Rhinolophus ferrumequinum: one gene and its partners. The protein of the gene in region 1 binds, or shares a complex with, the protein of each later gene. Links are inferred from orthologs where the notes say so. Each region holds a gene or a part of one and is shown on either strand. Other genes may lie near its edges.

Region 1 (7,581 bases):
TATTCCAAGTATGTAGAAATTCAATTGATACAGGCATACCTGATTTTATTGTACTTCACTTTGTTGTTCCCACAGATGTTGTGTTTTTTTACAAATTGAAGGCAAGACCCTCCACCAGCAAAAAGATTAAGTCTTGCTTTATTGTGATACTCACTTTATTGCAGCGTTCTAGAACTGAACCTGCAATATCTCTGAAGTGTGCCTGTATTTGTATACTGATCTTTTATCTTCCAACCTTGTTGAACTCATTTATTAGTTTTAATGGGATTTTTTAGTGGCTTGCTTAGGATTTTACATATAAAGGTCATGTCATCTGCAAATAGAGGTCATTTTACGTCTTACATTCCACTTTGAATGCCTTTTATTTTTTTATTTATTTTTTCCTACTTGCCCTGCCTAGAACCTCCAGTACACTGCTGGATAGAAGTGGTAAGAGCAGATACCTTTGTTCCTAATGTTAGGGGAAAAGCATTCAGTCTTTCACCATTAAGCATGATATTAGTGATGGAGTTTTCATTGATGCCCAGGAGTTCTCAATGTCAGGTTGAGGAAGTTCCTTTCTATTTCAAATTTGTTGTGTTTTTATCATGAAAAGTATTGGATTTTGTCAAACTTTTTTTTGTGTTTTTTTCCCTGCAGCTATTGAGATGGTCGTGATTTCTGTGTTTTATTCTATTGCTATGAAGTGAAATTCAAATCAAATGGAAATAGTATTAGAGAAGAAACAGCTGACCATAGGAATGTTGACACTGATTATTCTTTGAGAGACTCAAGATACACAGCCAGAGGAACTTAGTGAAGCCAAACATCCACATAAATGAGGAAACTGTGAAAAAAAGTGATGAAGACATCTCAGAGGAGATGATACCTGTAAAAAGATTCACATTACAAGTGCAAAGTACAAAATGTTGGAAGCTGATCCAAATTTAGAAAGGGGTATGAGAATTTGACAAGCCCAAACCAAAAAAGCCTTGCTCGTAAGTTATATAATGAGACATTCAAACTATTGTTAATTTTTTCACCAAAATATACCCACATTAATTCTCAATTTTCTAATGCTTTAAATTATAATGTACTAAATAAATTTAATTTTACTGTGTCCATTTCCTTATATAATGATAACCGATTGGGTTTTTAATGTTTTGATTAAAAAAATTTAAAGGCCATGGAATAATTGTAATTTTCCCCATTGATTATTAAGTTTACTTTGTACAGTTTGTACTTGGACAGTAATTTTGATGGTATTGCACTCCTATGCTAAGAGATAGAATGTATTTTATTGTGGCTAAGAGATAAGGTGTATTTTATCATGGCCAACAAATTATTACATATTTAGACTTCAGTAGGTTTTAGAGGGACGTCTTCTTGCTTTTGCTATTCCCCGACTATCTCTTCTCAAATAACTCAGTCTTAAAGCCACTAGGTAGAGTAGAGCAAGGTAGATGTAAGCATATTAGGATGGGTTAGCATTCCCGTGTAGGAGCCAGTCCCTACCTGGGAGGGTAGCCCAGCATGTAGATCCGTTACAATAGGTGAACTGTTAATAATAAGTAAATATAGTAAGGATAATAGCAGCCAGATTTTTCATTGTTAGAGAAGGAAGTTACATTTAGTTAAGTTTGCATTTAGTCAAATTTGGAGCCATTTGGGTTTGTCTGATAAAAATAAATGGAAATTTAAAGGAGGAATGGGATATTTACATACTTTCAAAATACCTCCCCAGAAAATACCAATTAATTACAGAGGCATAAATGATAACTTCACAGTAGAGAAGCCTGGCAATTACTCTCTTAACCAAGTCATCAGAGTAATGGAAGAAATGAAATCATACAAATATATGGGGATGGAAGGAGAACTGACTCTGATTGGTGAACACACAATGGGATTTATAGATGATGTAATTCAGAATTGTACACCTGAAATCTATGTAACTTTACTAACAATTGTCACCCCAATAAACTTTAATTAAAAAATTAAAAAAAAAAATCATGAGCCACTTGATTGTATGAAATGAAAAGAACACAGTATGAAGAATATCAGCCAAACTCAAACTGAGGAACATTCTACAAAATAACTGGCTTGTAATCTTCAAAGTTGTCAATGCTGTGAAAGTTAAAGCCTAGGGACCAGTCCAGATGGAAAGAGACTTGAAACTTGACCTAATGCAATGCATGATTCTGATCTGGAATCTTTGCTGCAAAGGAGGTTCTAGGAGCAACAAGAAAAACTTGAATGGGGTCTGAGGACAGTTTTAATGTTACTGTGATTATTTTGTAAAAGAATATACTTGTCTGTAGGAAACTTGAGTGATGGGCATGATATTAGCAATATACTGTCATAGTTCAAGAACAGAAAAAGTTCTTTGTACTATACTTGCAACTTTTTGTAAGTTTGAGATTTAAAAATAAAAACTTTTAAAAAATGATGTAACCATTTTATTTAAAATGTCCATTTTTATAATGTGCTCTTCAATGATTTAATTTTTGATGAAAATTTTTAGATATTTTTCTAATATAAAAGGTGTATGGTTTTCCAAATTATTTTAGAAGTTATTTGAGCATGAAGTTGGAAGAACCACTGCCCTGGAAGAACCAACTTCCCTATGACTCCAGCAAATGAAAGAGCTTTCAGAACTACTCCAATGCGTTTTCTCTGCTGTACTCACATGCTATTACTAGAAAACACATTGTGCTTGAAAAGAGAGGGAAGTAGTACTCCAGGGTGTAATTCCTGGGTTCAAAAACCTGACTCTAATATGTACTTGTTAGCCAGGTACTTAACCTCTCTCTGCCTCAATATCCTAATCTGTGGGAATGCAGGTGTACTTAGCACAAAGCACCACACAGAAATGCACCGTAAACCCCAGCTATGATCATTTCTAAAGTCTGAGCCCTTAGAGGGCATGATCCATGTCTTACTCATATGTTAATCTCATTGCTTCTCATTCCTAGACTATTTATCAGGTCATCTTTTCTCCAGTGTTTTTTCCTCTGATCTATCATTCACTGTTGCAATTGTTATCTTCCTAATCTGTAAATCTGATCATGTCATTCTCTGTTCAAGTTGGTTTCCCAATTTTTACAGGATAAAGTCAAAATTCACTGCAACAAGCGAAATCTCTGTTTCCATCCCATGTTTAAGGAGAGTTCCACCAAGCATGCTTTCACACTTTAATGGCTTTGTTCTAGTTGTTTCCATGCATCTGAAATGTTCCCATCACATTCTATTCATTCTTAAAAGTTGGTCTCGGGCAGCCAGATGGCTCAGTTGGTTAGAGCACGACCTCTGAATAATGGTGCCCGGTTCGATTCCCACATGGACCAGTGAGCTGTGCCGTCAACAACTAGATTGAAGACAACAGCTGCTGCTGAGTTTCTGGAGGGGCCGCCAGATGGCTCAGTTGGCTCAGCTGGTTAGAGCGCAGGCTCTCAATGATGAGGTGGCGGGTTCAATTCCCACATGGGACAGTGGGCTGTGCCTTCTGCAACTAAAGATTGAAAATGGCAACTGGACTTAAGAGCTGAGATGTGTCCTCCACAACTAGATTGCCCTCCACAACTAGATTGAAGGACGACGACTTCGAGCTGATGGGACCTGGAGAAACTGTTCTCCAATATTCCCCCCCCCCAAAAAAAAGTTGGTCTCAAAAACTCACCAGGCTTTCTCAGTCACCTTCTGTTGTAGGGTTTGTAGGGTCATATAGTGTTACGTTCATAAATCCATAATGGCCAATCATACTTTGTTAATAATGTAAAACCTTTCCACCTCTCTCTGTAGATCATTAATGCATTCATCAAATATTCATTGAACAATATTTATTAGATAACAGGCTCTGTTCCCAAGTCAAGACTAGATTTTCCTATAATTTATGTAGACGATTATTAAGAAAAATACCAAGTGGCGGTGACTGCTACGCAGAGAATGTCAATTGAGTATGATGAGTTGTTCAAGTGTATGGTCAGGGATCGCTTTTCTGAAGTATCTTTACGCTATGAATTTGAAAGCGCCTAAGTGACAATGAGAGGGGAAATGTCGCAGGTCGCAGGAAGAGCTGCTGGTCGTGGGAACAGCTGGTGCAAGAGGCAGGAATAAACTGGTGTGGCAGGCACCCAAAGAGCCCCTGGTGGTCGTCCCCTGGGCTGGTTGTGTGCAAAGGCTGACGCGGCAACTTAAGTGTGTAGAGGGTCTGAGAGCCACAGCTGGTGCAGGTACGTATTCCTGCGAGTGGGTTCCTCCGCCAGCATGCGATACCCTGAATGGGCTTTCCCTTCGAAACTTCTCACACCAGCCCTTTCCTCTCCGGCGGTGGCAAACGATGACACAGAACCTTCACGCAGTTGCTGACCGAATAAGGATCCGACAAAGGAATCACGAAAGATCTAGTCGCGCAGGGGCCGAGACTGGGGAGCAGACGAGAGCAGCCAGCATAGACTGGCGGAAGAAGTCGGAGGAGGTCCGAACCCGAAGGCCCCTGGCGCGAATGCTGCGCATGCGTATGCGCGTGCAGACGTCAGTTAGGGCGCCGGTCCGAAAAAGGGCGGGGCGAGCCATCCGCACCGGAAGGGGGTTGGCTGGGCGGGGCCGGGAGGCGGCGGTGGCGGCTACGCGCGCGCGCGGGTGCGAACGGGGAACGCCGCGAGGGCCGGGGCGGGCCGGGCTGTGGGCACGACGGACGGCGACGATGGCCGCGGCAGCGGGCGGCGGCGGGCCGGGGGCAGCGGCAGGAGCCGCTGGTGCGGGAGGCGCGGCGGCGGCTGCGGGCCTGGCGGTTTATCGGCGGAAGGACGGGGGCCCGGCCAGCAAGTTTTGGGAAAGCCCGGAGACGGTGTCCCAGCTGGATTCGGTGCGGGTCTGGCTGGGCAAGCACTACAAGAAGGTGGGTTCGCGCGCCCGTGGGAGCCGGGAGGCCACGCGACGGAGGCCGGGGGCGGCTACTGGCCTCGCGGACCTCGGGCTGCCCCTCCCCCCCGCGCGCCACGAGGGACAACAAAGGCAGGCGCCGGGCTCGCCACGCCCCCGCGGTCAGCTCTCGGGGCCCGCGGGCGCGGGGGTCTCCCCCGAACCCTCAGGGCCCTGCTCTTTGGCGCTCAAGCATCCCGGGCGAAGCCCCTGTTCCCCGAACACGAACAGTCGAGCTCAGCAGCCCGGAGGGTGTGAATCTCTTTTGTTAGCTGCCCTATTAGGTGTGTGAACAATGATTGTTAAAAACAGCTTGAACCAGTGTGTAAAAGCAGCTTCGTTTTGTTTAGAGACTAGTCTTCCAAGTCAAGTGAGGTAACTAAGGTCTTACTACCTGTTGTTGATTTGCTAGAGAAGGAACATGGACGATTGTACTCGGAAGGTAATAGGTTAATGTAAGGAATTACAGTATTGATGGGAACTCGCGTTAAAAATTGACTGGTTTTACGATATAGTAGTTTTAGTTATGTATAGTAGGAGTAAAAGAGTTAACGTTCACTTGTACTTGAGGGTTTCTCAGTGAGGCCTTCCCTGAGAGCCCCATGTGTATTAGATCACCCCACTTCATGTCATCTTTATTTTCTTCGTACCACTTTTTATTTTTTTCATTTCATTCTGTTTCTCCTTCCTTTGGGATTTAAGTTCCACCGAGTCGATGGTATTGAAAGTTGTGACTTAACCCCTTGATTATAACAAATGTTTTTTAACTTCCCCTTTATGTAAATACTTAGGACTGACTCCTTTACACGGTGAAATGAAGCACACAGCTAGAAATACTCCTTCTGCCCCCAAGTTTCCGTAACACCCTTTTCAGTTCTGTATTTCCCTATTGAAGACCATAGCACTGGGGCAAGGAGCTTATCAGGCCTGTCCAATATACAATGTGTCCTTGAACATGGTTGGTACTCATTGCCTCGCCCTTAGTAGTTGCTTAGTAAATACTAGTTGAATGAATGAAAAGATAGTACTCTAGGAAGCTGTTCATTTGGGGTCTACAGCAGAGTGAAGCCTGTTGGCTTTGAGAAGTCCTTATGCACGAACAAGGGATCTTGGGTTCGGTTGACATTACACTGTGGTACTTCCAGAAATGACGATTTCTTATCTGAAGTTTTAGGAAATGAGAGAGAATATATATTATTATTCACAGTATATTTTTAGATGTTTTGATTATTATTTCCCCCTGAAGTTTTGGAGTCACATTTGGGATTGTAGATTGATTTTTCTCTTCTGTATGTAAGTATGTAAGTAAGAGTATTGTTCTCTCTTGTACAGTTAAATTGGTCACTTTTTTGTGTAGGCAATAGAGCTTCTGGAAGTGGCTAAGGTAATTGAACATATATGTAGTCGATATCTGTACCTATACATATAAAATGAGAGTATTATATTTTATCCTGTTTCCTTTAGCTAATGCTTTGGATCTTAATTTCAGTGTCCCTTAACGTAGTTATTTTTTCCCACAGTCTGGATTTTTTTCCTCCAGTTTTACTGAGTTACAATTGACATATAATATTGTATTACTTTATCAAAGGAGCTTTAACAAAGAAAGGTACTCAGGAGTAATATTTTTTTGGATTATCCCTTTGTGACTCCCATAGGACTGTTTTACTAAATCAAATATCAAGGAAGGGAGAAGAAAAAGGGAAATAATTTCTGCTTCTCCAAAGTCCGTGTCCATCTGTTGGATCCCAATCTTAAGAGAGCAGCTTGAGGCTTAGATAACCAGCAGGTTAATGTTGGTTCAGTGTCCCTGAGGCCTTAAGACAAAGTCAAAGTTAGGTTTGATTTCTCAGGGTTTCATAAAGCCAGACTGTATTTCTTGGGTCTACTCAGATTCAGAATTCAATCTGACAGCCGGAATCCTATCAGTTTCTGAGAGTGTTGTTGGAGTGGTGAAAGTATTAACAAGACTGTTCTTTGCTGCTTTTGTACACACTGTATCTCTACTTGTACACGTTGATGGGTTTTAACTAAACTTTTCTATTGCATTTAATACTGAAGTTTCAGATTGATCAATCTCAGCAAATAGATGAAATAAGCATGACATCGGTAGTCCCCTTTTATTGATGGGTCTGTCCGTGCAGTCAAGTGAACTGAGCATCTACCATATCCAGGCACTTAAAACGTAACTCACTGAAATCCTCACAACAGTCCTGAATGATAGACATTATTTACTTTATATTACACATGAAAGGAACCTGAGGCTCCCGATTTAAGTAACTTCTCTAAGATTGCTGGTAGAGGTGGCAGATTTGGGATTCAGTGAATCCTGCCTGGCTCCAAACCCGTTTTCTTTTTTGCTACACATCATTTCTCTTTGAGGAACTCACAATGTGGAAAAGATAGACATAGACACCTACCCAGGTGATTGCAAATTAGAAGAGAACTTCGTTGTATTTTCATTTTCTAAGTGCCCTTAGTAGATGTTCAGTAAATATTTGTTTAATGAATGAAAAGGTGAACTAGTTTAGGAACCTCTTCATTTAGGTTTTGTAAATACGTTTGGCTTAGCAACACGGAAGGGAGGTGAGTACTTTTTGGTTGGAATGAATTTCTGGTCTGCCAAAGAAGTCCAGAGGAGGGGACCACTTTAGATAAGAGGAATCCGAAGCACAGGGAGGTTAA
Region 2 (7,282 bases), on another chromosome or scaffold:
ACAAATGAAAAATCCCAAAAGCTTATCCAAGATGCTTTCCCAAATCATTCAGAAAGTTAGCCTACATAAAAAAAATACAGCAATAGACACAGGCAAAGAGCAACAAGTAGTGAAAGCATTCTTACCTTTCTTCTGAAGAGCATCTTTAAAAATATATGTAAATTTAAGTTCAATATCCTTGTTCAACCAATTCTTTTAAAACTTAGCGCAACCTAAAATAAACTTCAAAAATTTCTCCAATGAATTGACGTATTAATTCCTCAATTAAGTTTTTTCAGCTGTTGTAATCATATACCTGACATGCTTGTTTTGAAATTTGGTAAAGCTTTCTTTTTAAGTTTACTTGAATGAATCGAGGGAATTTTAAACATCACAACTTCTTGGTTATATATTAAAACTGATAAGGATCAGAGATTTATATAAAATAATAGAAACCTCTAATTAGGGTGTTCGGGGTTTGCAGTTACTATTAAAAACAACACTTTGCATTTTCACACCAAAAAGGCTTGGCCAACATTTCTCATCAGAACAGTAAATTATACAAATATAGTTTCAACAATTTCCAGTTATTGGTAATTTTTATAGGGATGTTTTCCATTAATGCTTGAAAACTACAAAGTACATTTCATTTTTTATATCTTATTAAATTAGAGAATATCGTAAAACTGTCGGACATCTCTAACATTTCTTTTCCAGGATCCACCTGCTCTATGCTGCCCACTATAGGAAACGCAATATGGTACAAAGAAATGTTACACTACCGGTATGCACTAAGGTTACTTTTAGTGCAATCCCATAAAAAATATTCTCTGGGTACTTTGAGTGCTAAGATAGGGTATTCTTGCAAGAGATAGGCTGATTAGTGGTAACCAAATTTATTAAATATAAAGAACATCAGTAGCAACAGACATGATCAGTAACTGTATCTTGGTAATTCACACACCAGGAGTAGCAATCTGGGTGTGGCAAAGGATGGGGCATGGAACTTTGTGATTGAGGCGCAAACTGCATAAAGATGCAGTTGTGCGTCAGAAAAAAAATATGAAGGTCAAAATCAACTTAAACACCTCAAAAAAATCATATAAAAATACAAATGATTGCTGCAACTGAAAATAACATTTGAAATAAATTATTCGTGTAACGCGTATTTAAGTTTCAGCAGAGGAATCTCCTTTTTCCTTAAACCTTTCTATTCCTCTCACAAGCAAATACCGTTAATATATTAAGCTTACTTTTGCCTTTCATTTTTCTAGTATTGGGGAAGTAGAACCATGTAATAATCTTACAAATATCAGGTTTTTTTCTTTGACTAGAGCATATTCAAAGTGTTATTAATTTAAATTCTAGCCATCAGACATCTTTCGGAATCCATTTTGTAGATGACAGCTTCTTCTGCAGAAAAGGAATTTTTTTTCAGAGTCCATTCTCCAGTTACATTTTAAATTTTTAAAGAAAGGCATTAAAACGTTACTATCACACTCCAGGTCTTTAGCCTTGACACTTGTACTGAAAAGCAAAACACACTATTGTATATACATGTGCGTATATACACAAAAATAAACTAATAGGAAGCAGTCAGTAGCTTAAAAGTGGCTACCTCCCCTTGAAAAACAAAAATATAAAATGTCACCCCTCCATTCTGCCCTTTGAATGAGAGACAAGACAACCAGATTTGCCCACTGCAGAGTGGGATACCAGAAAGGACGTTTCAACGTCTAACCTGAGACATTGTTAACATAGACATTCTAGGTCCCGACTCGTATGACTTAAATTTCAGTGCATGTGGCTTCGTTCCCAATCCTGCCCCATCGACACCATCCAGGGCCCGGGGCCGGACCGCGCGACCACCCGGGGCGACGGGACTGCCGGAATCCGCGCGTACCGCCCGCTCCGGGCAACACGGCTCCCCGGCTCCCGGCCGACCGCGAGTTCCCGGAGCAGTGGCCTCCGGAGATCCTAAACCCACGACTCAGACTAGGGTTCCCGACAGGGCCATAGACTGTGACATTTAAAAACTACTAAAAAAGTCTCGCTGTACAAGTGGCGCGACAGAGAACCTTGCTGCCGTACCGCGTCGCCCGGTTCCTGTCCCCTCGGAGCGGGCCGGGAGGCCCAGGCGACCGTCCGCAATATCGCACTCAGCTCCCGAGAGCGTAGAAGAGCAACCAAAGCCACCAAAGACGCCGCGGCAAGTCCCCGGAAAAGTCAGCCGCAGCTTTCTCTTCTCTCCTTAGTTACAATTACCCCCGGGGCTTCTGGTGTTTCCTTCGAAAAAAATTTAAAAAGTAAAAGAGGTGTTAGAAATCGCTGACAATTTCTGTCGAAGGAGATCCCCTCGGCTCCATCACTTAAGCAGGATTTCCAAAGTCGGATGCATCCTCAGCGGAGGTATTCCATGTTGACAGATCTCTCGCCTCCCACAAAATGGGGCCGAGGAGGCGGCCGCTGTCTCCTCTATGGGCGCCGCCATTTTGTGAGGCGGCGGCGGCGCGGCGGCAGGAGCCCGGGGTGTGTGTAATGGTTGAATAGAATGACCCCCTCTAGGGAATCCCCGGCGCTGACAGTTACGTAAGGGGCTGTGCACAAGTGCGGCGTTTAGGGAATCCGCACAGCCCAGGCCACGCAGCTCTGCGGCCCACATCTCCACCACCCCTAAGAGGACCGGTTGGGGAAAGGACAAATGACCAGGTCTCTCCCTCCTACCCCGCCCCCCTCGCCTCCGTGCGGCCCGGCATCTCCACTCCCCCCGGACGGGTCTCCGCCCCTCACAGGCTTCCGAGACATTCACTGGCCCTTGGGTGTCTGGAACCTCCTAGCCACAGCCTTATTCCGACCCCACTTAAAAGATAAACTTTACTTGAGAAATAAATCCGTTTCCTAGAGTGAGCGCCGGAAGCAGACTGGACTATGTTACATAATTTTTCTCACCACCAAATAAATGTTCCCATTGGAACCACCACCTGAAATAATAACCCATGCAGACATTTACTAGCCTGTGACCTTGGATTAGTCAGTGACTTTGCCCATGGTGGCAAAATGGGAATAATAATGTTTCACATATTGTGAAGCATAATTAACACTTGTAGCAAAGGGCCCACTCCAGTACCCCTTGCAAACTTAGGAGGTAGTATTTGTTGAGATGTTGAATCTCCCCTTTTAAGCAGCCTTTTTTTAACCTTCAAAAATATCTAAACGAGGATCGCATTTAAGACATTTGAGAGAAAGGAAAAACATTTTCAATATTTAATATTTAAGCCCATCTATCTTTAAGATACTTAATATAAAAAATATAAACGTTAATCATTATTGTCAAAGTTCAAAAGATTGCTTCCCAATCAGTTTAATTACAGTTTGCATAACTCAGCATAGAATAATCTAGTTTAAGACCAAAGGCAAGATGAATTAAGAGCATTACTCTATTTCCACAGAACTAGGACAGTTCACATTGTATTTAATTTATAGTTTGCTAAAGTTAGTTTGTGGATAATTCGTGGAAAATGTGCTAACCAGGCCCCAAAACACCAGTACAAGGCTCAGAAAAGCCGATTCATTTACACCTTAAAAAAAAAAAGGGTAACAAATTGACTTTATTCCAATCTGTGAACGATGCGTAGCGTGAGGAGCTGCCCCTCTGAGCTTCCTTTCCCTCCCGAGCGCCACACCGGTTCTGTCGAGCGGGCGGGGGACTCCCAGGCAGCCCTTCCAACAGCCGGGCCAAGGACGCGAACATTGCCTCCACCCCTAACCCTGGAACAACCGGTAGTGGCCGTTTCCCCGCACCGCCCCCCTTTCCGCCGGCTTTGTGTGCGTGTGAAATGTGCGGCACATTGCAGATGAACCCTAAACCCGGAGCCGAGTCTATTGTTCCCCGCGAGGAGCTGCCGGGGCGGTGTGGAGCCAGGCGCAGTGCCGCGGCCGGCCCTCGGGGGTCGCTGCGCGGCGCTGGCAGCCCGGCCGTGGCGGCGGCGCTGGCGGCAGCAGAGAGGGAGGCTGGCGGGGAGGGAAGCGGGCAGGCGGCGCGCAGCGGCTCGGCTGCCGCCGGTGCCTTCTGCCCGGGGACGCCCCGGCCGAGGCCGCGCGTGAATGTGTGCGAGGGCCCCGCGGAGCTGCGGCCGGAATACACGCTGTCACCCCGCTTTCCACAAACCACCACACAGACCTCCCCCTCCCCACCCCCAGCCCCGCCTGCCCCAGCCCCGCCGCCGCCGCCGCCGCTGCCGCCGCGGCCGCCGAAACTCCAGGGCCTCCGGTCGCCCCGGCCCCTCACCGTCGGCTCGCCTTTCCCCTCGCTCGCTCGCTCGCTCGCGCGCCCCCGGCAGCAGCACCATGTTGAATCGCGTCCCCAGGCCGAGCCGCCTGGATCGGCGGCGCTGAGAGGCGGGCGAGAGCCGGGCCGCGGGGAGGGAGGGAAGGAAGGGGTGGGGGCCGCGCTCGCCCCGCGGCTTCGCGCGGATCCGGCAGTCGCCTGCCCCTCTAGTTTCGCTCCGATTTCTTTAAACTTTTTTAGAAATTCCCCTCCCTCCTTCCCTCCTCTCCCCCTGGCCTCCTGCTCCCTCCTTCCCCTCCTCCTCCTCCTCCTCCCCCTCCCTCCCTCCCTCCCTGCGCCGCCGCCGCCGCCGCCGCCGCCGCCACCGCCGGCCCATGACTGAGCCCCGCCGCCGCCGGCCGAGGAATGGGCTCCGGGCTCTGGTAGGAAGCGCAGGGAGCGGGGGGCGCTTTTAAAACACCGATCTGGGTTTTTTTTAAAACCTCCTTTGAAAAAATAATGGCAAACTCGACGGGGAAGGCGCCTCCGGACGAGCGGAGAAAGGGACTCGCTTTCCTGGACGAGCTGCGGCAGTTCCACCACAGCAGAGGGTGAGAGCAGAACCGGGGGGGCAGCGCCGGGGCGAGCCGGGGCGAACGGGGCTCTCCCGTCCGGGCCGGGCGTGGGGTCCCGGCTGACAAGTGCGGGGCTTTCTCTTTCCCGCAGGTCGCCTTTTAAAAAAATCCCTGCGGTGGGTGGGAAGGAGCTGGATCTTCACGGTCTCTACACCAGAGTCACTACTTTAGGCGGATTCGCGAAGGTGAGTGGAAGTTTTAATTTGTATTTCCCTCTCGCTGGCCTCCTCCAAAAAGTCTCCTTTGACCCCGGAGTGGGCGCTCGGGGCTAGGGGGGTGGCTCGCGGGGGTAAAAGGCGTTCTTTTCGCTCGCAGCCGGTGGCACGGAGGCGGACGGCGGCGGGGCTGTTTTTGGCCTGGTGGCTCGCGTGCGCGCGGCGGGCGCGGGGCTCGGGCGGGCGGGCGGCCCGGCGCCGGCTCGCGCCCTGCCGGCTGCCCCGCCGGCCCGGCGGGGTCTGAGCGCCGCGGCGGGGAGTGCGGGCGTGCGGGGCGCCCGCCGAAGCCCCGCGTCCGCCCCGTGCCCGCGCCCGCCCGCTCGCTCGCGAGTCAGTTCTGCCGCCGCTGCCGCTCTAGCACAGGCGGAGACACAGACTCTGAGAGCAGTTTTCGTGCAACTCAAAATTAGCGCGGGCAGGTTTAACATCGATAATCGGCTGCGAAATGATCCCGGCAGCCGGGGGCACAGCCTCGGCCCCGTCGCCCTCGGTTTATACAGCTAACAAAAGAAACCAGGACCTGTCTCCAAATAGCCATCTTAGGCTTCAAGGCTAGGCAGAAGCTGTAGGCCTCAAAGAAGGGCCTATGGAGATGGATAGATCTGGGAGAGGGATGTGAATCGGCCCCGGCCCCGGCCCCCCCAGAACCTGCGGACGTCGCTGTCCGGAGCAGTATTGATCCTTTTGAACTTTTTTTTTTTTTTTTTTAGTGTAAACCGACCGCGTTGAGATTTAAAAGGGGGCGACAGAGGGACTTGCGATTGGTTATTGTCCGGGCTTCAAAAACAAAACAAACCCACCAGACACCCCCCACCCCCCAAACAAAACAAGTGCCATTAAATACAGGGTTCCTGGGTGAAAACACAGTGATTCAAGCAGCTCTTGCTTAGTAACTCTTACGGATCGATCCGAAACACCCATTGATGCCTGGGTATCTACAGATCTCTGTAGAATGGGTATTTATTTCATAGTTAGGTTAGAGTTTTCTTGGATTGTGCATTTTCAGACAAGCGTGGCTGTGTTTTTAACAGGTTTCTGAGAAGAATCAGTGGGGAGAAATTGTTGAAGAGTTCAACTTTCCCAGAAGTTGTTCTAACGCTGCCTTTGCTTTAAAACAGTATTACTTGCGGTGAGTAGTAGTGACTCTTGAACAGTATTTGGAAATAAGGGACTTATGGGGAGATTTGTTTTTAGGAAACACACACACACACACACACAAACACGCGCGCGCGTGCGCGCGCACACACACACAAACACACACACACACACAAAACAAACCTTGCATACCAGTTTCTAAACTTGTTCATTTCAATCTGGGAAACATTAAATATCTATAAAGTGAGGTTGTAGGATCGTGAAAGTTTTCCCCACCTATTTTTGTATTGTTTACATTTTTCATACAGAATTATTACAGGTGACACCCCTCCCCCCATCTTGATAAACATTCTTTTGTGACATTGTTATTGATTGCAGAGGAGCAGAAAGATGATGCTTAGTAAAAGAGTTAAGATAGTTAATGAAACTTTGTATCCCCTGGGAATTTTTTTCTTTGTTTTGGAAACTCCTTTGCCTTTTTAAATACTGACTTTAAGATTTTAGAAAAATGAAACCTTTTGTGTGGAACCGTGTCACTGAGTAGTTTTTCAGTAGAATATTTCTATATAGCATAACATAACATGTTGGTGCTTTAATGACTAGGATTGTTTTTAGAATATTTTTTTTTTGAATTAGTAAAAAATGTTCAAAATGATTATTATATATTTAGGAAAATTAGGGATACTATAAAAGGAAATACTATGATTTGGATTTTCTTTCATTTTCCCCACCCCCCCCTTTTTTTTTACTTTTTTTAAACCAAGTAAGTTTCTTATTCAGTTGGTATGTGATACAATTTAGATGATACATTTTGTGATTTAGCTTTATGTTTTTCTCCCAGGCATATTTTTATACTGTAATTTATTATGAGGTCATCTTTTATTTTTAATGTTTACTTACCCATAAAGGGTCCTTAGTTGGTGATTGTTATTTAAAACTAAAATAATGCTCTTCATATTTATTATTTTTTAATAATGATATTATGGGATGGTCGTTTTTAGATAACGTGGCTTCTGCATCATTTGAGTTTGGCATTTATTGCTCCAAATGCAATATCAAAGTAGATATTCTGTGTTATGTCTAGCATTCTG
Region 3 (7,508 bases), on another chromosome or scaffold:
ATACATGGAGGATACCTCAGCGAGACCCTCACTTACACCTGGACGAATATGGAGAGAGACAGACAGTCAAACAGGATACACATGAACATACACACGGGAGATACAGACAGATCATCTGAGATAGTCAGACAAAGGAAGAGACATACCCACTCAGATGCATCCAGACACGTGGAGGAGACTCATGCAGACCCTTGGATACACCCAGGGATGCTCAGAAAGAGACTGTTTGACCATCAGACAGCCATACCCACATGGGGAAGACACAGCCAGACCCTACCATACACCTGGATACACATGGGGGAGATAGACATAACTAGAGAAAATCACTCAGATGGATACACAGGGAAGATCCACACAGTCCCTCTGAAGCAATCAGATACACCCAGGTAGACATTCTAATTCACCTGGACCCACACAGAACCTTGGGTACACCTGGACAAGGGAAGAAAAATAGCCAGTGACTCTGATAGCACTGGACACATTCAAGAAGTGATAAGGTCAGACACTCTGGTGGACCAACACACATGAGCAGAAATACACCAGACACTAGGAGAAGATAACCTCCCAGATGTTCGAAGCATCTGGGCGCTCAACAGAAGAGGCACCCGGACACCCTGCTATACCCAGACACACTCAGGAACAGCCAGATATCCTGACAGACCAAACACACACGAGAAAATAAACCTTCTAATACACTTGGAAACACCTGGAAAGAGGCTCAGACACTTAGATACACTCTATTACAATGGCAAGAGTTATACCCAGACACTCCAACACATCAAGACACACTCGGTCACCCACAGGAAGAAACAGAGCCAGACTCTCTGATACATCCCAGCTCACAAGGGAAGAGATACAAAGACTGGATACACTTAAACACACATAACAGACACCAGTCCGCTCTCAAATACACCTGGGCCCACATAGGAGACCATACCGTCCCAAGCTCAGTCACTCAGGGAAGACGGGAAACTCTGGACTACACCCAAGCACACACCAGGAGACACACAGCCAGCCACTCACACACTCTCTAGGAGGGAGATAAGGCGAATGCTCAGACACACGCTGGCATCGCTACACACTTAGAGTGTGCTGGGGACACTCATGGGGGCTCCCCCAGGCACAGGCAGCTCCACCCACCGATCTTGTACTCGCAGGGCCGGAGTCTGGGGTCCTCCAGAATGTTGAGTCGCCGTTTCTTTCTCCAACAGCGGGCAGGGTATGTGTAGATCTGTCCTGGAGCCAAACCTGGAGTGAGCAGGGCGGTGAGAAGAGCAGTAAGAACGCGGCTGCCACGCCGCCGCCCCGCCCCGCCCCCGCCCTCCTGGCGGGTACCTGGCCCGCGGTGGGTCTTCTCCATCCAGATGTAGCAGTTGTTCTGGGCCACGCCAGTCTGCGAGTCGAGGAAAGGCAGGCGCAGGCTGCGCTCGGCGCACAGGCGCGCGTTGTAGCTGCGGCAGTGCTCGATGGCCTCGCGGTAGAAGTCCTCGCCTAGGCTGCGAGGCGCGATGAGAGGCAGTGAGCGGGCGGGCTGCTGTCAGCAAGGGCAGGCGCGCCAGGGCGCCCAGTACCCCTCCCCCGGCTCAGCCATCCGGAACGGGTGGGCCGACTCTGCCAACCTCACCTGTCCCTTCTGGTCGCTCCTGGCTCCTGGACCCAGGAACCCCCCACCTGAGACTCAAGTAAGCCAACGAGTAGCCATACACAATATAGAAACAAAAACACAGTGGGACCTATCCATATATGCACATATCCAAACACACAACACAAATCACACATAATCACATAGGATTCACACACAAAGAGAAACATATCCCAAGACTCACAAAGGAGAAACAGACAAGTCTCACATATGTGCACACACACATATCTACTGAAAAACACAAATATCCCGTCACACAGTATAGAAACAGACAGATCACACATATATCCATGTACAAATACACATCCCATATCCAAAGATACACAACATAAACAAATCACCCACACAAAGACACACAATATGCAAACAGATCACACCACACACACACACACACACACTCATGCATCCAAACACATACACTTATGCATCCAAACACACATACACAAATGTTAAAAGAAATGTTAAAACAAACTACCCACATATGCATTTACACACATATCCACAGACAACACAGACAAATCTCACATATACACACACACACTACAAAGAAATCAGATTCACACAGGATACACACATTCACAAAGATACACAATATAGAAGCCAACATCTAAAATACCATATATTCAAACACACAAAGACACACACATATACAACATAAAAACAGACAAATCCACCCATATTCACACAAAAATTTACACATAGATAGATGCATACCTACATATCCAAAGACACAGAACACAAATGATGCACAGTTTCAAAGGACATGTACACACACTCCAAGACCCAAATACCCAATACCTAGTGTGGAATAAAAGAAATGAAACACATCTCCATGCACATATCCAGAAAAACCAGAAAACAAACAAGTGACACACACTCCACATCCCAAGACAAAGGTAGTGTGGGCTTCACTCAAGTTTACCAAGGTCCGCGCACCCCGCCCGCCCACCCCCCCGCCATTTCACCCTCTCCCCAACCCGGGTAGTCGCAGGGTGGGACCTGACCCCTGCCTCGAACAGGACCCGAAGAGGACTCTGAGTTCCCCCCACACTCCGCTCCTCCAAGATCAGCGCATCGGACCCCGTTCTTGTCAGAGACCCATAGTCACACACTCGCACCCCCGCGCAGTCGGGCCCACGGTGACAGCCCCCCAGACACCCATCGGCCCCACCCCCAGCTGCCACACACACACGCTCGCGCAGACCCGCCCGCATGCCCTCCCCAGCCTGCCGCCTGCCTGCAGCACCTCAGGGGGCCGGGGATGACCGTGGCCATCTTGCTCCCCGGGTCCTGCCCCCAGCAGGTCCCCGCCGGGTCGGTCCTCCCAGCGCACGGGCGGGCGCGGAGGCCGCCCATCCATTCATTCCCGGGGGGCGGGAGCAAGAGGGCCACAGCCAATCACGGCGGCGGGGCGGGCCCGCCTGGGCCATTCTGGGAGTCGTAGTCCAGGCCTGGGAGATCGCGGGACCCCGCGGGTAAGAGGGTGCAGAGGTGGGGCCGGGCAGCACGCACAGTCACTCACACACGCTCACTCATACACTCATCTGGTCTCACGGCGTACACGCACATCGGACTCGCACACCCACACGGCAGTTTACACACATATTCACATGTATACTCACTGCTGCCCACTCAAGCACACTCCACTCCCACACCTCACACACTCACATACACACACACTTCAGAGCCAGGAGACTCAGACATTTTACAGATGCCTACACAAACGTCCCACCAACATCCGCGGCTCGTGCAGACGCTGGACTCACTAATACCGCCCCCTCCCCACCCTCCAGTCACTCCTAGCTCCGGAGAACCCTATCCTGTCCCACTCTCACAGAGACCCCCCGCCTGCCCTACTCAAACCTTTCGCAGCCCTGACAGCAGCAGTGCTAGTTAGGAGCTGTAGCCATATTCCTCTAGGTTCAAATACTGGCTCTGCTACTTGGTAGCCATGTGACCTTGGGCAAATAATTTAACCTTCCTGGGCCTCGGTTTTCTCATCTGCAAAATGAGGGTGGTGCCTCATTGGATGTTGTAAGGATTATATGACATAAGTGAAGTGTTTTAAAAGGTACCTGGCAGGTAGTAGGTGCTCAATAAATTCATTCATCCCACAAAGAGGATCTGATATGTACTAAGATGTAAAATGGTGATATTGTTACCATTAGAAAGAATAATGCCTGGCACATAGTAAATGCCCAATAAATATTTGTTGAATGAATGAATAAATATACTGAACACCCACCATGTGCTGGGCACAGTTCTAAGTGCTTTACAGGGATTAATGACCCTCCAGGGTGATGATATTATTACTCCCGTTTTCCAGATGAGGACTCTGAGGCACAGAGAGGTGAAGTTACATGCCCCACAGCCTCCCAAAACAGGCTGTTTGAAGGTGTGACAGGGAAGGATTCACTCCCCCAGGTGCCTATCCCCAAGTGGGCCTTACCACCTTCTCTCTCCCACTCTCCCACTGTCATCCACACTGACTCCACCCTAAGAGATACCCAGAGAGTGAGCTGATTCACCCGGTCACACACACTTGCTCAGTCTCTATGCACACACCCACAGCACTCCTAGTCCAAACTTTATGTTCAGGTTTGAGCCTCGCATAAATGAAAACACCTACCAACGTCCTGTCCACCAGGGGGCTCTCCAGCAGACACAAGAGGCATACCAGCCTTCACCCCTTCTGTTTGATTCCCTCACCTAACCCTGGTGAGAGATCCCCTCAGGCCTCCCATAGCCATACACACAAACACCTCTAGTCTTAGACCCCTTCCACACTCTCCCCATCACCCCCCAAGGAGGTAAGGCCTTGAGGGAGGGGTCTCTGCTTCACATCTGGCCCAAAGGAGGTGGCAAGGGGAGTAAGTCAGGGATTGTGGCAGCCGCATGCTCACTATGGCCTCCAGGCCCCTATAACAGCCATTCCATACGTCATCCACAGTAAGCCGTGGCCCTGACCTGTCAGCTCAGCTCAGAGGGTACCCTTGCCACCTTCCTCTCTCACCTGCCACCACCACCCTCCAATCCCTCAACACACCCGCTAACACTTGCTCCCTACGTCCCTAGCCTCAGAAATCCTGGCTCACTACTGCCCCACCCCCAAACTCTCTCATCGTTTTGGAGCCTGAGTGTAGACACTCCATCACCTCCTGGAGGCCCTTGTCCACCCACAGACCCAGGCTGACACTTACCCTGTTTCCCTGAAAATAAGACCTAGACGGACCATCAGCTGTAATGCGTCTTTTGGAGCAAAAATTAATATAAGACCCAGTATTATATTATATCACATTATATTATATTATATTGACCCAGTCATAGTAAAATAAGACCGGGTCTTATATTAATTTTTGCTCCAAAAGACGCATTAGAGCTGATGGTCCGGCTAGCTTTTATTTTCGGGGAAACATGGTAGAGAGGAGTCTCCCTCCCTTTCCCTACCCCGTCAGTCACTTTCACTCACCTTCACTGACCCCTCTCCCACACTTGAACTCCCAGTTCTCTCCCCTGCCCAAACAATCCTATCCCCACCCCCCAATGCCCTGTGGGAAACTGGACCACAAATGAAATCAGTATTGACACTACTACTACTAATCACTACATTTAGTCAGGGTCAGGCTCTGTACTAAGTGCTCTACAAAGATCAAACAGCCCCAAGAGGTAATAAGAACTGTTATGATTCCCCAATACACAGATGGTAACACTGAAGTGGGGGGAGGGGGGATTCATGGCTCAAGCTGGGATTTGAATGCAGGCAGGCAGAATTCCTAAGGGCTGCACCCCCAGCCTCCCACTCCCAAGGGGAATAGACTTGCACATTCTTTCAGGAGCTAGTCTCTATCCTCACCTCTGCAGAACCCTCGAAAAGTGAGAGCAAAGAAGGAAGGGTGCTGGCACTTCCACCCCAATGCTAACTCTGGCCTCCAGGTCCCTGCAATGGGTTGTCCCTCACCTCCTCCTAGAGGTCTAGGCCAGGGTCAGAGTGAAGAGGCCTGGATGCCGATAGATCCACCAACTGGCACAGGAATCCAGTCCCAGCCAGCTGGAGGGCATGGCGTCCTCATAGGAAGACATCTGTCTGTGAGTACGACTTAGAATGAGAGGGAGGCAGAAAAGTGTCTCCATCACACACCATCTCACACTGACCCCAGCCCCACACCGGCTGTCCAAGTCCTCTTTTGCTCACCGCAAAGCCACCAGCCACCCTCCTTTCCCAACTTCTCCCCGCCAGAAACCAGAAACAACTGGGGGCATTAGAGTGGGGGGTGCTCCCGTGCCCCTCCCCTCTCCTCAAGCCCCCAGCACATGTTGCTCAAGGTCAAGGCAGCAGGCGCACCGGGTCGGGGGGAAAGGTGGGGGAGGTCGCCCGGCCCCTTTGTGCGGCGCCGCGGGCACTTGCCCCTGGTCTTCTCCCTCAAGCCGGGAAGAAGGGGGAAGGGAGTGCGCGCTCGCCAGCAGGGGAGGGAGGGCGGGAGCGGCCGCGCGCCTGTCACTCCGAGCACGCTGTCACCGCCAGGGGAAGGGGGGTGGGGAGCGCTGGGACCTGGGTGTACGGGATCCCGACAAGGGAGAAAGAAATAGAGATGGAGATGGAGATGGAGATGGAGAGAGAGAGAGAGGGAGAGAGAGATGGAAAGAATGAGGATGGCAAGGAGAGGGGAGAGATGGGAAGGAGCTAGGCACGAAGGTGTCCGGGTTCCCAGACACTGGGCCCAGGGAGGAAGCTAACGCACGGAGGAAGGAACGCGAACAGGGAGAGAGGGAATCCCCGGAGACTAAAGGCGCTCCCAGCACCTTCTCCCGAGGCATCTGGTACCCAAGGGGATGAGAGATGCTCGAGTTAGATGTGTATGAGCGGGGAAGAGAGAGAGATTCCACAGTCTAAGCTGACGGGGGCATCGGGGCTTCTAGGACCTGAAGACCCAGGAGGAAAAAAGAGGAGACAACAGGGACCCCCGACGTCTCAGCTCCCACCCTGCGGCCGCGTGGACCGAGGTCCGGGGAAAAAGAGGCAGGGAAGAGGAGAGAAAGGTGTTTCAATGAGGGGCAAGGGTGGTGGAGTCCCCAGACACTGAGGTCTGGACTCAGGCGTGCGTACTCCCAGCCTCACGCTGGGGAAGGCCCGGCGCCCCGAGAGACACGGAGCAGGAGAGATGGAGGAGGAGGAGAGGGAAGCCCCTACCCCCACTCTGGGTGGGGAAACGGCCTCTGCCATCCCCCAACCCGCACCACATTCCTTCACTGACAGCGACAAAGAAGAGGCGCCCCCGCGACCCTAGAAGGGTTCCCGCCCCCAACTCCATGGGGAGACAGGGGTTGGCGGGCGCCTTAGGGGTGTGGGGGCGCTCCGGAGGGGGCATTCAACTACCATCAACGCAGTGCATCCCCTTCCCCAGCAAGGGCGGGGGGAAGGGCGGGGCGGGTGGAGGGACGTGGACAGCGGGGACACTCACGACTTGAGCGGGTTCTGAATGGCGGTGGCCATCGCCCGCTCGGCTGGGCCACCTCCGGCCCGGGGCGCCGCTGCCGCCGCGCGCGGGCCCAGCCCGGCCTGCGCCGCCCGCTCGGCCGCCCAGCGCGCTACGATTTCATTCATTCTTAGGGCTGCGGCGCGAGCGGAGCGGGGCGGGCCGGGGGCGGGGCTGGGCCAATCCCCGCGCCTCCCGGCGCACGACGGGACCTGGAGTCTAGGGGCGAGCAGCGGAGCCCGAGGGCGCCCCTGCCCGGACTACAGGTCCCAGGGGGCGTCGGGAGTACCGTGCGCCCATTGGCTGCTGGGGATACAGCGAGGGGTTAGGCTCGCCCGAGAGCATCCTTCTCTCCTCCCTAGGGTGCTCCATTCCCAGCTCCGGCTCTCCAA
Region 4 (7,268 bases), on another chromosome or scaffold:
AATTAGCTGCCTAAGTGAGCCTAGTACCACAAAGGTAAACTGAGTACTGCTGGGAGGGGAATATGCAGGGAGCTTTTGGAGCTTTCTTCCTCCTCTTTGCAAAGATACATGACTCCATAAAATACCCACTATTTCTGATCAAAGCATTGTAAACAGAACATGAAGAGGGAAAAATCGCAAAATAAAAGAGAACGCATAAAAAAGTACCTGAAAGTTGTAATTTCTAAGCAAATTTTAAGTATCACTGTAGGTCCTATCTTTTTATCTTGCAATATAGAAAAAAAAAGAAACATACCTTAAAATGCAAAGAAAAAAATTGGTTGTCCTCTATTTTAAAGCTCTAAAATGACAAAATAGAAAACTAGCCTTTTTGATATTCCAGGAACACCAAGCCAAGTCTTTAGGATAAACTCCCTCTCAAGATCATGAAAGATGTCAGCTTCCCTTTAAATTGAGCTGCTTTACCAAAATTCAATTAACAAAAGAGTGTTAAGATTCAACATGTAAACAAAGAATGAGGCCAGCTTTCCTTAAAACAGAACTCTTGAACCTAACATGAAATTCTCTGAAAGCTTCTAGTTCTCAAAAAAAAAAAAAAAAAGTTTTCTATTATCTCCTCCCATAAAGACCCTACATTTGGCACTCAATAAAAAATCCAGTAAAATAATTTCAATTCTGCAAAGTGAACAGGGTCAAAATTACTCAAGACAAACGGATCCTCAGAGCCATCAAAGAAGTCATTTATACCATCAGAAAAGTCACAAAACCAAAACAAACAGCAAACCCATTGTAGAGAAAAACCCAGCTACTGTTCTGACAACACAGAATCTATTTCAGGCTGCATAAAACATAACAAGCAAAATAAATCCAAGGTACAAGCAAAATGCCACTGCCTCCTCTTTTGTTTCAGGCACAATGTAACAAGGGCAGCCTGTCTGGGGCTCTGCTCCTGCTGATACAGTATTGCTGCTTAAACCTCCCTCCTCAAGGTCACAGCCAATTTCAGCTCTGGAATAAAAGGCAGATAGTGGCAGCGATGGTTTGGGTTATCACTGGCAGAAAAGCAGAGTGTAAAAGTTTATGAGCTCATCAGGATTGTTGTACCATTACATCAGAGGCAATTATAAATGGCCAAGAGCAGGAGATGGGGAGCCAATCAGATCACAGATAGGATGTCAACCTAAGACCAACTGTCTCCTGGCTTTGACAGAAGGATTTTACCTCCATAATTCAAATCCCAAACCAAAGCAATCTGCACTTACTACTCCAATCACTCAGCTGTTTACCAGCACTTCCAGGGAGAAGCCCAGGCCACTGGGCCGAAGGAGACTAAGCAGGAGGTGGCCCAAGCTGCCCTGGGTGAACCGCGGCCGGCCTCTAGCTGCCCCCAAGCAGGCCCCTGCCCTCCCTCGAGGTCCCCCCGAGTCTGAGGGGCCCCTCCTTAAAAGCACAGATGGGGGACGGCCTGGAGGAAGGCAGGGGGGGCAGAGAGGAGCGGCAGGTGAGCAAAGAATTGTTCACTTAACACCTGAGCTCCTAGCAATGCCTGCACCCCTAACCTGAGCCTCCAGCACCCCCTCACCCCTGACCAGGCCCCTTCCCCGCACTCTGCCCCGCACCCCCTTGAAGACCCCCGGAGTTCAAAGGGACCAGGGGAGAGGGAGAAGGGGAGCAGACACCTCAGGGAAAGCCCCACACAAAGGCTGAAGGAGGGAAGGAAAGGAAGGCAGACAGGCAGCCATTTTAAGAGAGAAGAGCCAGACAATGGCAGCTCCCCAGCAGTGGGGGCCCCGGACTGGGGGTAGCCCACGGCTGTGGCCTGGTCCCCGCAGCCGCCACCCACTCCCCGGACCCCGCTCGCCCCAGCCCCTCCCCATTCAGCAGTGTACCTGCGGGGTCCGGGCGAGCGGCTGCCCCCCGCCGCCGCTGCTCCCGGGGCTCATGGGCGCGTGGTGGCTCCTTTGTTGGGCCCCTCCCGAGGCAGCTGCCGCCGCCGCCGCCGCAGCAGCAGCCCCCCAGCACTGCGAGGCCATGTCCGCTGGGCCCTTGCCTGCGCCCCCGTCCTGGGGCCCGCCGCCGTAGTCGCCCCCGGGGTAGCCCTGGTAGCCCCGGGCCGAGCTGGGCGACGTGAGCAGTTGGTTGAGGGTGGGGGTGGCGGTGGGCTGGGGGGTTCCCCCGCCAGCCGCTGAGGGGCCGCCTCCCCCCATGGCCCCGAAGCGCTGCTGAGCGAAGGACGAAGACGACGAGGAGGCGGAGGCGCTGGAGGAGGGAGGCGGCTTGGAGCCGGCGGTCGCCGCCGCGCCGGAGCCCGGAGTGCCACCTCTCGGGGAGCTCAGCGCGTAGGCCTGGGGGGGCGGGGGGTAGGCGCTGCGGTTGGGGTAGTAGGAGTTGTACTGGTGGTTGGGGAAGCCGTGGTCGTGCGAGTTCTGCTGGGGCCCCGTGTAGGGCTCCAGGCCCCCGCCGCCGCCGCCGCTCTGCAGCGCTGCCAGGCCAGGGCTTTGTTGTCCGCCATGTTGTTGGTGGAAGACGGCGGCCGCCGCGGCGGCGACGGCAGACGGGCTCCGGCCGTAGGGTTGCCCGAAGCCGTAGGCTGGGGGCGGCAAGGCGGCCGCGGCTGAGTGAGGAGGCGCCCCCACCCCATCGCTGCTGCCGCCGCCGCCGCCGCCGGGCGGCTCCGTGAGGTTATTGTTCAGGGCGGGCCTAGGGCCCGCGTTCCCGTTCGAGTTCTTCAGGTCCGGCTCCGCGCCGGGCCCGCCGCCGCCACCCCCATTGCTCTCGGCCCCGTCCTGCAGCTCCTTTCCCAGCGGCTGCGGCGGCCCCACGGCGGGGCCCTCGCTTTCCTGCCCGGTGGCTGCCTTCATTTCCCCGCGCTCGACCGCTGCCGCCGCCGCCGCCTCGCCCCCCGCCTCCTCCCGCTGCTGCTGCTCCGCTTTCTTCAGCTCCGAGGGCGGCGGCGGCGGGTTGCCCAGGCTGCTGGCGGCGGCGGGGGCGACCTGCGCGGCCATGATCCCCGCTGTCTCGTCCGCGGAGAGACCCGGCCCTGTCTTCGTCTTCTCCCCCCCTCCCACCCCGCCCCGGGGCCGAGTCCCCCGGGCTGCCCTCCCCACCCGCCCGGGCGGGCCTCGCGGGGCTCCGCTGCTGAGCTGCGCTCGCTCGCTCACTCCTCTCCCCCCCGCCCCGCCGGCTCAGGCTCCGGGCTGGCGGCGGCGGAGGAGGAGGAGGCGGCGGCGGCCGAGGCGCCGGCGGCTCAGCTGCTCCCGGCTCTGTAGGCTCGGGACCCGGCTCTCCCGGCTCATTCCCCCCAAGCCCTTGCCTGGGAATGAGGGGGGCGGTGGAGGCTCCGCTCCCCAGGGCCTGGCCCCGCTGTGACTCTCCGCTTTCTGCTGCCGGAGAAAGGAGGAGGGAGGGAGGGAGGCGAGGGGGAGGGGGCGGGGAGGGAGGGAGGGAGGGAGGGAGCGGGGGGAGGGGGACCCGGGACGGGCGGGCTGGAGGGCGCGCAGCGGCAACCCGGGCGCCTGGAGTCAGAGTCGGAGCGCGGGCCGGGCGCCCTGCCTCCCCTCCCCGGCCGCGACGCGGACCGAGGCTGCTGCGCGGCAGCGGGCGGGCGAGCGGGCGAGCGGCCGGACTGAGCGGCTAGAGCGCCCCACTCTCCTCCGAGTCCCCCTCACTCCGACACGAGGCTCAGCACTGCCATTTTACCCAGCGCCGTCGCGGCCGCCTGGCAAACCCGGAACGGAGCGCGGAGCGGGCGCAGGCCGTGGAACGGACTCGCTCCCTTCCCCTCACAAAGGAGGAGGGGAGATAACCAGCCGCGGCGGCAGCAGGCCCTCTGCCGCTTTCGCTCGGCAGCGCCGCCGCCGAAGGCTTCGGGGAAAACCCGGCCCGGAGCTTGCGCCTTTCCGGAACCTGCGCCGCCTTCCTCCCGTCGTTCCTATCCGGGTCGGTCTCCTCTAGGCCGCACCGAGGGGAGCGGGCAGCGTGAACTTTACTCGCGTCTGCAGAATTGGCTCAGCCTGAGATCGCGGCCGCCTCAGGCCCAGGCCTGACCCTCTGGCAGTGGGCCTGGTCTCTTGGCTGCTACTTAGCACTTCTACCGTACTTTTCTTCTTCAAAGCCTTTTACAAACCCGCTCTAACGACCCAGCTGAGTGAGAGAGTGGACCTTACTTTTAAACCCCTTTGCAAGCCTAATGTAATGACATAATGACATATTATTGTTCAGACTTTCCGTTTTCCCTCTCCCTTGCCCTCAGTAACAGGTCCTCACAAGGCCCTGGGGGCATGAGGTCGGATTATCCCCATTTTACGGAATTGAAAGAAAGGGGAAGGGACTGCTCCATCACTTAAAGTTAGATGACAGAGGAGAGTGGCTTTAAAAAGTAGCAGAGTCCCCAAAGTTGCCCTTGTCTACTTAGCCTTTAAGCCTTTAAAAAAAAAAAAAAGTCAAGTTGTGTCATATCCAACAATGGGATCTGATTATCAGAATGGATTTGAGATCAAAGCTGGTCATCTCAATACTGTCTTAAAATGCTCACCACTGAAGCTACTCTGGGAAATATGACAGCCTTCTAGCTGAACCCAAGCCTCATCTTTGTCTCCTAAGAGAACATAGCCCACAGTGACCAATATCCCGTCTCCCAGTACAGTACCTGTGAGCCTATAAACAGACCACAGAAGAAGCTATAAGGGATGGAGGAATGTGAGTGAAGGAACCACTGCAGAAGAGGAATGGCTACACAGAATGGCTAAAAGAAAAAGGGCAGTCTGACATGTCACTGAGAAAATGGATGCAACCCAATTTGTTTTCTATTCTCCATTGAAAAGATTCTTCAAAGTTTTACCATTACATTCTAAGAGATGCAGATTGAGCTGGAGGCTTACATATAAAACGCCGGATCTACAGGCCCAACCAAATCCCAGCAGCAGCCTTTTCCTCCTCAGGCTGACTTGGAATGCTCTGATGTGACAGGCTACAAAAGCCAGAGGAGATTCCAGCGCCTCACCAGGCCTAAGGCTGCCTTAGGAAAAAGAAGCCGAGGTCCATGTAGTCACTAGCCATCAGGGCCTCTTCTCTCCTCAGCTTTTACAAATGGAGACTTCTTGGCCACAGAACTATTATCTTAGAATTTCCAGATTCTGCAGGCCCCTGGAGTTCTGTCTGTGCCACTGGTCACCATGAATAATTCGAAAAACCTGAACTCATCCCTATCCCTAAAACACTTAAGAGCATCCTACACTAATAAGACAACACCTTCCTGTCAATCTAAGAATGGTGTTCGCTCACCCCGCCCTCCTAGGAAGGAACCAAACGCCAGGACCTGACTGACTGGAATGGGCCAGTGCCCTGTTTCACTCAGTCCTCAGGGGCAACAACTCTCCCCATGCATTAGGTCCTAGAAGCCAAATTATAGGCTGCCTCATAAATGGAGCTTGGCTATTTAATCAACTGCCTCTGAGCTGGCAAACAGTCCTGGGTCCCGCACACAAATGAGGAATTTTTTACATGCAATTATCCTGCCATTTTCCTCAGAGCTTGAGTGTAATAGGAAACCCAGAGCCCAGTGAAAATCTGGAAGCCAGAATGGGTCTCTCCAGAGGAAGCCCTCATCCCTTTTCTTCAAGGGCTGTGAAATTCGCAAAGTGTCAAAATCCCTTTTCTACACGTGGGCAAGCTGTTTAGAAAACAGCCACCATTTTTATTTAACAATGAGGTAAAGTGCACAAAAAAATCTATCCACCTGGGTTGGAGGAGGTAACGTGGGATTTCTCCTTTTCCACTATATATTTTTTAAATCTCAAATCCTTTATTGTTCTTTTACACCCCTACATTTAGAGCCCCACACCATTATCCCAGGGACTGCGGAGTTGAAGGGGAACTTTCTTAGAAACTGGCCCATCAGCTTTCCCTAGGGGCAATGGCAGCGGGAAAGGGGGGGAGGGGCGGAGCTGGGCACGTGGCTGGCTCGAGCAGCGAGCCCTAGGTTTGGGTCTATGGGTCTTTCCCTCCGTGGAGTTTTCTCCCCTACGGCCCCTGCCTTTTAACCCCACACCCAGGCAGCGCAGGAATCCCGGCGCAGATTAGAGAACTAGGACTAGGACAGCGCGTACCCTCACGAAAGCGCCTCTGCCACCAACAGCCTGATGGCAAATATGGACTGAATCGTTGACATGGAAACCGGACTAAAGTCTCGCTCGCTCCCTCACAAGAGAGTTCTTATCACCATCCCCGACCGCACGGCACTAGGCAAACGTGGACTGGATTTCCCGCCCGGAGGATCAGGCGGAGTTTCTGCGAGCAATATAACTCGTGGCTGCGGCAGCCAAGGAGGGGGGCAGGGCTGCCAGGACAAACTGACTGAAAATGGCAGAGGATGTGCTCTCATTTTATGGATTCGGCTCGAGAACAAGGGAACAACATATGTTAAATCCACGCAGTCAACTGCAAAATGTGGAATCCAGGCCTGAAGGGTTTGCAAAGAGAGGGAAACGTTTGCAGGGTGGACAGCCCTTCCTCTCTCTCAATTTGTTTCCCCTAAGTGTCCGAAATACAAAATTCAACAAACAAAAGATTGAACTCGGCTCCTTCCTTTACCCACTCCTCTTGGGGGAAGATGTTTTAAGCCCAGGGACCCAGTGAGGATTTGCCTTGGTTCTGAACTAAGGCGCGGGGACTCGGTGGAGCGCCAAGTTGTGGCCCCCACATGCGTCCCCACCGCGGCAAAAAAGCTGACACCCAGCAGAGCTCTCTCTAGTGCGAACTGGAGCTGCGAGTTTGAGCAAAAGGGCAACTATGTCAGTTGACGGAAGCCAGGAGCAGAGTTCAAAGCCTGGCGTGGATTTCTTTCTGGAGCTGTCTGTTTCTTAAAGTTTGCAACTCCGTGTTCAGAAACAGCCCCAGCGGAGGCTTTGGGAGCAGTGTAAGTCTAGCACTACCATCTGACAGCGAGCTGCAAAACTTTGGGCTGCATATTAAGAGAGGAAAGTGGATTGAAGCGAGAGTCAAGGCAATTCATTATATTACCGGCTCCCAAACGGAAGCTGTAAGATACGAACTGGATCGCCACGGAGAAAAATGGAATGGAGTCTGAACGGCGCTCCAAGGCTCTTCGCTGTAAAATTGTGCTTGCCCGGCAACTAGAATCTCAAAGGAGCAACCCAGAGGCATCAAGGCTTAGTGGGCTTTCAACGACCGCCTGTCTAGATGATGCTTTTTCCAATCATCTCATAGTTTTAAACAATTTAGAGGAATTTACATTTCAGAATAATAAG

The links.
Region 2: SMARCC1 (region 1) and ARID2 share a complex: the UniProt entries of both Homo sapiens proteins name them as parts of the SWI/SNF-B (PBAF) chromatin remodeling complex. The link is inferred for Rhinolophus ferrumequinum from reciprocal best matches to the Homo sapiens genes SMARCC1 and ARID2.
Region 3: SMARCC1 (region 1) and DPF1 share a complex: the UniProt entries of both Homo sapiens proteins name them as parts of the neuron-specific chromatin remodeling complex. The link is inferred for Rhinolophus ferrumequinum from reciprocal best matches to the Homo sapiens genes SMARCC1 and DPF1.
Region 4: SMARCC1 (region 1) and ARID1A share a complex: the UniProt entries of both Homo sapiens proteins name them as parts of the neuron-specific chromatin remodeling complex. The link is inferred for Rhinolophus ferrumequinum from reciprocal best matches to the Homo sapiens genes SMARCC1 and ARID1A.

The regions. Positions count from the first base shown.
Region 1 is NC_046300.1:8,038,874-8,046,454, forward strand, and holds the start of SMARCC1 (SWI/SNF complex subunit SMARCC1), read left to right. Parts: upstream 1-4,577; 5' UTR 4,578-4,681; coding exon 4,682-4,876; intron 4,877-7,581. UniProt on the Homo sapiens protein: Involved in transcriptional activation and repression of select genes by chromatin remodeling (alteration of DNA-nucleosome topology).
Region 2 is NC_046293.1:47,892,764-47,900,045, forward strand, and holds the start of ARID2 (AT-rich interactive domain-containing protein 2), read left to right. Parts: upstream 1-4,274; 5' UTR 4,275-4,765; coding exon 4,766-4,857; intron 4,858-4,972; coding exon 4,973-5,066; intron 5,067-6,127; coding exon 6,128-6,225; intron 6,226-7,282. UniProt on the Homo sapiens protein: Involved in transcriptional activation and repression of select genes by chromatin remodeling (alteration of DNA-nucleosome topology). Required for the stability of the SWI/SNF chromatin remodeling complex SWI/SNF-B (PBAF).
Region 3 is NC_046298.1:37,699,826-37,707,333, forward strand, and holds the start of DPF1 (zinc finger protein neuro-d4), read right to left. Parts: upstream 3,019-7,508; 5' UTR 2,999-3,018; coding exon 2,889-2,998; intron 1,497-2,888; coding exon 1,336-1,496; intron 1,249-1,335; coding exon 1,141-1,248; intron 1-1,140. UniProt on the Homo sapiens protein: May have an important role in developing neurons by participating in regulation of cell survival, possibly as a neurospecific transcription factor. Belongs to the neuron-specific chromatin remodeling complex (nBAF complex).
Region 4 is NC_046292.1:18,273,485-18,280,752, reverse strand, and holds the start of ARID1A (AT-rich interactive domain-containing protein 1A), read right to left. Parts: upstream 3,006-7,268; coding exon 1,890-3,005; intron 1-1,889. UniProt on the Homo sapiens protein: Involved in transcriptional activation and repression of select genes by chromatin remodeling (alteration of DNA-nucleosome topology).